2 linked regions of the Bombyx mori genome follow. The main gene of each other region encodes a partner of the protein of the gene in region 2 in a complex. Links are inferred from orthologs where the notes say so. Each region holds a gene or a part of one and is shown on either strand. Other genes may lie near its edges.

Region 1 (3,657 bases), on a different chromosome or scaffold from region 2:
ACTTCATCCGGCACGAAGACTGGCCCTCCTCCAGTCCAGATTTGAATCCGTTAGATTACAAGATATGGCAACACTTGGAGGAAAAGGCGTGCTCAAAGCCTCATCCCAATTTGGATCACTCAAGACATCCTTGATTAAGGCAGCCGCCGATATTGACATGGACCTCGTTCGTGCTGCGATAGACGACTGGCCTCGCAGATTGAAGGCCTGTATTCAAAATCACGGAGGTCATTTTGAATAAACTTTAGTGTCATAAGAATCTATGTTTTGTTAAGTTCATTTTGGTATATGAATGGTTACATAATGAATAAACTTGTTTCAATTATTTTACATTAAACATGTGACAGAATTTATGACCTGACTAGGTATTATCATCCATCAGCGACGGTCTATCCATATATAAAATAAAAATAAAAAGACTTACCCAAGACAATATTGTGTCTTGTGAACTCGATCTGAATATAAGCTTAGCAGGCGTCGCGACACAATGTATCTGATTACAAAACTTCCGATAGTTTCTAACATAATCGATATCCGACAACTTTGTTATTTTCTTATCGACTATATCGCCCCCTTCTTTGTGCCTTAATCGATAATCTTGTAATCGATCTAAACTAATCGGATCCGACGAGAACAGCTGCGCTGTTGATTTACATTTATACATAAAATGCCTTATTTCCGGTATGCCGATGTGCTTGAGGGGTTTCGTTGTGGACAACTCTTCGTTACGGTTTAAAGCATTGTTAATGGCAACTAAACAGTTTGCCCGTCTCATTTTCTCGGCTATTGTGTGTTTGGCTTGGGATAAAGTTGTAAATGCATCCCTTTGTACGGTCAGTAGAAGTAGACAGGCCTGGCAGTCCTCTGATATGTAAGACACGTGGCCGTGCAGGAAGCCCCTGAAATTTTATACAACACTTAAATGGAAGGAAAAAAAATCACAATGGAACTCGTATGCATGCAATGAAACATAGTTAGGAATACAGAGTCAATGCTCTGACGGTATTTTTTATTGCAGAAATTACCCATCTGTTCATTTTTTTCCTACCTAAGCTGATGGTCTAGGGAGATCATGTCAGCGTCACCAGGCTAGGCTGTTTATTGATGACTTGAGTATGGACATTAAAATGCTCTTTTTTTTTCTTTTTTTATTGCCTCTGTAGGCAGATGAGCATACGGCCCACCTGATGGTGAGTGGTTACCGTCGCCCATGGACTTCAGCAATGCCAGGGGCAGAGCCAAGCCGCTGCCTACCGTTAAATACTCATACCACTACTCACCTGGGACATAAGGTCGAAATCAATTTTATTGTATAAGAGCTATGCTATTATTAGAACCGGAATGCATGACTACTTTTCAGAAGAATTATGTATCAGGATATGACTTCATTGACTGTTTTATCTTTTAAGTACTTTTTTTGTTTCTTGTTCGCTAACATGAAATAATAATAATAATAATTTCTTTATTTACTACATAAACTCTTAAATCATGACCTAGAATACTATTTACATATTTAACGAATTGAGGGATTAGGCAGATGGTATCAACAATATAATATTAACCAATGATCTTCACACTAGGCATAGCCTGTATCATGAGGAACTTACGATACAGGCTATGCCTAGTATCCAACATATAATATTTTATACTAGAAGTCCCGCAGTAGTCGAAATTCGACTATAATTAATTGGAATTGTAAGTTTGTACACTATTATGATTGTATTTTATACTTCTATAATCACAAATTTCGCCAAGACTACACTAAAAAAGTATTAACAAAGACAAACAATATTTAATCTATTCTCAATTTGACAACAGAAGTCAAGAACAAAAGTTTGACAATAAATAGTATGGATACGTGTGTGTGTCAAATACACGGTATGTAGTGTGTGTAATGTTTTCTTTATTGATTTAATGTATCTTTTATGCATTATTTTAAAAAAATATTAGCATTGTGCACTTCTTCTCTATTCTCTGTAAGTTTGGAAAATTTCATACTCCTCCGTCCCCGCGTCGTAAAAAGGGATACAAAGTTTTTGCTTCACGTATTAATATATAGATAATATATTTAAGTTATTCATATAAAACACAAACTCACGTTGCATCAAACTTGGGAAGGCATATTGGCGTCCAGCTCTCGGCCGTTTTGAATGACTCCGAACTCCTTATTAAATTGAAAAGCAAATGTATATCCGAAGGGTGCAGGGTGTATTTTTTCATTCTCACTAATGTTATCAGTTGATTCCCAGCTATCATTATAGCGAAGACGAGATCACGAATCTTGTGGCACGTGGTTGTTATTGCATTCGTGATATTCTCTCTGGCTTTTTCTGGTAAAGGAAGGCATCGGACTGCACCTGAGAAAAATTAAGTACTTTTTGAAGTGAAAACTTCTTTAGAATCGTTGTGATTTCAAACCGGATGCAACGGAAAAAACGACAGGTAAGAGACACAAATACAAAAATGTGTAGGATGAAGCCAGCAAAGAATGAGACAGAAATATACATACTATTTAATACAGCGCCATCTGTGAGATTTTTTAATACTAATGTGTGTATGAAAGCTCTTGTAGTGAATTTTAATTTAGGATTATACGTGAAATTAAAATATCAATTCACAGAAGGCGCTACCTTACAATTATTTACTAATGACAAAATTTTACATATACTTAAGACGTTTAAGAATAATTGTATTTTAATTTTGGAAGGTTTCACTTCTACCACGTGTGAATTGCACACATTTTGTTTTTTTTTAATTCACTAGAATAATTCGATAAAAATCGTGAATGAATAACTAGAGAGAACATAAAAGTCTCCATTATAATACAATGTATGATTGCTGCTTGTGGAAGGAGACAAAACATAAGAGACAACTTGTGCCACCTTGCAACATACCTAAAACTAATACACAAAACAAGCATCTGGGAGGATAAGATAATTATATGAGATTATAATTACACAGTTTCTTATACCGATAACACAGTTGAAAATATTATCTTGCATATTTTTTTACATTGCATATAATAACCGGCAAACTTCTTGAGCATTTGTTGACGTAGTGGGGGTAAGTTTGCGCATGGTACACTCACGTGCAAAAACATTACTTACTCTGCGTCATAATGCTATTAAATTATTAAAATCAACATATGTATTTATTTATATATTTATTAGAACATCAACAAAACATATAGGTTAATAATTGTAATAATTTAATCTTGCGATAAAATAGATATTCCTTCTATTAAGTCAAAACTAGAGCTGTTGCCAGGTCTTGGTTCAGTTGAAGCGAAGCTGGTATTTGTATATTTTTTTTCGTTATCATAATCTTGACCATCATCATCATCACTGTTTTCATCACCCGAGTCGCTATCATCGTGATGAGTCGACATAGGGCTCATCGGCGTAGTTTACAACTCGGTCGATTCGGTCTTCTTTTTTGTCTATAATTAATTATTTTTTGAAGATATTCGATTCGTAGTAATCGAATGTTACTTTTTTCATTTACCAGCTTCCGATTATTTTCTGTTCTTTTTTTCCATCTGAAGCCTAGCTCTTTCATAATTCGTCGTAAGCTTCATTCCGAGCCATTAAAATTTATATCTTCTTTAAATGTTTCGAAGCCTTTCTACGGTACGGAGTTTCGCTGCTTGTTATGTAG
Region 2 (3,657 bases):
GGCGGGGGCGCGGGGGCGCGGCGCCACCTGCCCCGCTGTGTGCCGCGCCGCCTCCAGGTCCGCCCACTTCCTGTCCCGGCCGACAGACACATTTACTCTCTTTGGATCTGTAACTCATTTTGCATTTAAACTTAGATTTTTTGATTACTCTAGATCAGGGGTTCCCAAACTTATTTTTTCTACTGCCCACTTAGGGGTTAAATAATTTTTTTGCGCCGTCATTTTTTCACCTACATACAACCATTATAGCGAGAGCTCAGTTGGTGTCTAAGAGTCCTGCTAGATGAAAACTCTTTTTTTTTCTGGGTCTCTTACCGCCCCCCTTTAGACCTGCAGCGCCCACAAGGAGGCGCTATCGCCCACTTTGGGAAAGGCTGCTCTAGATAGTCAGACGAGCCCACATCCCAGCAGATATTAAGTGGTTATCGGAGCCTATGAGCATCACGACACGAGTGCCCCTCCAGTTCTAGATCCCGAGGCCTGTGAGTCAGCCGGCCCATCCTTCAGGTGGGAACGCCTAACTGCTCGGCGGCATAACTAGGCAAGACGATGCTACGGCCCTCAAGTACCAAAAAAATTTCAATAAACAACATTAGATAATTTAATCTTGTGTTTTATCGAAGTATTTCAAAGTACCCACCTGTAAACAGAATTGATTTCGTCAAAGACCTTAGACAGCTCCACCAGGTAGACTCCCGCGTCGCTGATCAGCTGGTGGAGGATCCTGTAGATGGTGTCCCTGCCGTCCGTCCGACGGAGCAGCGCGGCCACTATCTTCGATATCTCGTCTTTTGGCACCTGTTATTTTATTTTTCAAATGACTTTTGAAGGAACAGCAGCAAAACTTGAGCATCCGGCGTACAGGATGGAACGCGCCATTCAATAATTGTGTTAGGAAGATTTTGGAGTTTTTTCCTCCCACCGTCATGTAAGAGCAAATAAGATTTCCCGAGCTCTGCTTCCCGCTCAGAGCGTAAGATTTAAATTACTTTCGAAATATATTTAGTCTATATTTATAAAAATGAATTGCTGTTCATTAGTCTCGCTAAAACTCGAGAACGGCTGGACCGATTTGGCTAATTTTGGTCTTGAATTATTTGTGGAAATCCAGAGAAGGTTTAAAAGGTAGGTAAATATGAACATGCTCGGAATTAAATAAAAATAACAATTTTATTTTTCCTTTGATGTGTCCCCCGTCGGATGGATTCCATTTGTTTGTTTTAAGTTTATTTTATATAAAAGTTTAGGTCTTTTATTTATCGATTGAGGCACTACGAAGTCTGCCGGATCAGCTAGTAAAGTATAAAAATCTTCAAGGCATTTTACAGAGTTCTCGAACATTTTCGATGGTTCTTTTTATTTTGTGAAGTTTAAGTGAAATATTTAATTTTTTTATTGCTTATGTGGGTGGACGAGCTCACGGCCCGCCTGGTGTTAAGCGGTTACCGGAGCCCATAGACATCTACAACGTTAATGCCGCCACCTACCATGAGTTATAAATTCTAAGATGTCAGTATAGTTACAACGGCTGCCCCATCTTACCAACGGAAACGCATTACTGCTTCACGGCAGAAATAGGCAGGGTAGTGGTACCTACCCGTACGGACTCACAAGAGGCCCTACCACCAGTAAGAGTATAAGTAATAAACGGTTTGGCGACTCACCGAGTGCGCTAGCCCCGCTGGCAGCAGCTGGACCTGCCACAGACAGCCGAGCCTGGCGTCTATGATGTAGTCGGGTTGGAACACCACCCACGTGCCCGAATCTGAACACTCTGTGTAAGGAATTTACGTGCTGACGGTACCGAGGCTCTCCCAATGCCAGTTGAGGGACCAGTGTCCAAAAAGAGCGTTTTAATTTGGAGGCTACGAGGGAACAATTTCCAAATACCCTACGTATTTCAAATAGCATATTAATTATTATCTTTGCACCTGATGGGCCAAGAGTTGACAGATAAGGAATATATTATAGATTTAAACGATGATCTTGATCGCGTAACGGTAAATATAACAGAACAGAAGAAAACTGAGAAGAAACTGAATGGCGCTAACGTTATTTAGTACAAGTTTGCCGGTACCGAACAACTACATAAGGACCGTCGGTCACTAGGCAACGACCCCCACTCGGTGAAATAACTTTCTCTTGTCGTTTTCATATAAAATTAAATTTAACAGGGAAAGTAGAGAACGGTTAGGTATATTTAAATTTCATGCCCGAGGGCTAATTTTCATGCCAAGTTTTCTTGATCCCAAATGGATTTGCTTTAGGCTTGTCGTGTTTTATTATTTAAACAAAGGATACACATGGAACACGGCTGCCCCTCCACGAGGGCCGGTCGCATGCTGGCTCCTGCCACCAGCGGGATGTGAACGGCGATACTGTTCTCTACCTTCGACTCTTCCATTATGTCGAACACTTGTGAGGTTTGTGTCGACTGCAAGGAATCGTGAGGCCACTTGGTAAATGTTAATGAACAGTTCAGTTCAGTTCAGAAGTTCAGTACGACGGAGGAAGAGAGATTTTGGTGACCTAGGCAAGCTGTAGCTGACGTTAATAGATAAAATAGGATATTCTATTGAAATTATTCATTTGGCGTAGTATAGTAGCGTTTTTTTATTACTTAGAGCACACAGCCAATCTGGTGTTAAGTGGTTACCAGAGCCCATAGACATCAACAACCTAAGTGCTGCCATATTGAGACATGAGTTCTAAGATCATCGTTTTATAGCAAAACGGTTGCCCCACCGTTCTAACCGAAACACATAACTGCTTCATGGCAGAAATAGCCAGGGCGGTAGTACCTACCCGTGCGGGCTCATAAGTCACCCTACCATCAGTAAAAATGTTTAAATATGTTTACTGCTTTTATAAAAATTAGAATCTTTGCTAACAGAAAACAAAGTTATATATATAATATATTATCGAACGATTATCACAGCTTTGCGAGACAGCTGAGCTGAGCGAGAGGCTTTATCAGAGCGAAATTAGACAAATCATATTTCTTAACACAACTTGAGAATAGCTGAACGAAAACTCTGGAAATGTACCTGGTGGTGCACTACGACCAAGTCATCGACCACATTGACAGCGAATCTCCCGACCAGTCCAGTCTTGAGGATGTGGGTGTAGTGGAAGCCGCTGGGGCCCGTAATGGGCATCAACCAGACCTGCAACACAGGGTCAGGACTATTCGTCTGCGGCAAGCCAACGCAGCTTCCTGGAGCTACTACAGGCGCGTTGTACTTTCGGATCTCCAACTCATCCGTATCCTCGTTTGCATTGACAAATCCCGCATTCGAGTGATCCTATCCACAAGGAGATCTGACGTTTTTTTTATTAGTTAGATGGAACGATCTCACGGTCTATCTGTTCTGAATCGATTTTTTTTTATTGTCCTTGTAGGTAGACGAGCATACGGCCCACCTGATGGTGAATGGTTACTGTCGCCCATGGACTTCAGCAATGCCAGGGGCAGAGCCAAGCGGCTGCCTACCGCTTAATACTCTCCACAAGCTTCGTTTGAAGAAGGACATGTCATAGCTAGTTAGTAGTAGGCATAGTTTACTGGAGTCCACAGACTACACAATGCGGACATCGTCACCCGTTTCAAGAAATAGCCGGGAGGCACAACCGACCTGCCTGTCTGGTAATGTACGA

Evidence for each region. Proteins that work in one complex are often made in the same cells at the same time.
Region 1: the proteins of regulator of MON1-CCZ1 complex (region 2) and protein SAND are in contact, whole or in part, in a cryo-EM structure (PDB 8JBE), measured with the Drosophila melanogaster proteins. The link is inferred for Bombyx mori from reciprocal best matches to the Drosophila melanogaster genes Bulli and Mon1. Residues at the interface, in NP_648047.2 of Drosophila melanogaster: Ile561, Arg565, Lys568, Asp590, Leu592, His595, Ser596, Arg599, Phe600, Met603, Phe631, Pro632; in NP_608868.1 of Drosophila melanogaster: Pro416, Glu417, Arg419, His438, Pro439, Glu445, Arg448, Met473, Lys474, Glu475, Arg476, Glu494, Pro495, Val496.

What each region holds. Positions count from the first base shown.
Region 1 is NC_085134.1:3,996,648-4,000,304, reverse strand, and holds part of protein SAND, read right to left. Parts: intron 2,358-3,657; coding exon 2,099-2,357; intron 900-2,098; coding exon 425-899; intron 1-424. UniProt on the Drosophila melanogaster protein: Part of the Mon1-Ccz1 guanyl-nucleotide exchange factor complex specific for Rab7 that promotes the exchange of GDP to GTP, converting Rab7 from an inactive GDP-bound form into an active GTP-bound form.
Region 2 is NC_085117.1:6,356,794-6,360,450, forward strand, and holds part of regulator of MON1-CCZ1 complex, read right to left. Parts: intron 3,168-3,657; coding exon 3,048-3,167; intron 2,435-3,047; coding exon 2,302-2,434; intron 1,766-2,301; coding exon 1,665-1,765; intron 799-1,664; coding exon 641-798; intron 71-640; coding exon 1-70. UniProt on the Drosophila melanogaster protein: Positive regulator of the Rab7 guanyl-nucleotide exchange activity of the Mon1-Ccz1 complex, possibly by enhancing its endosomal membrane association.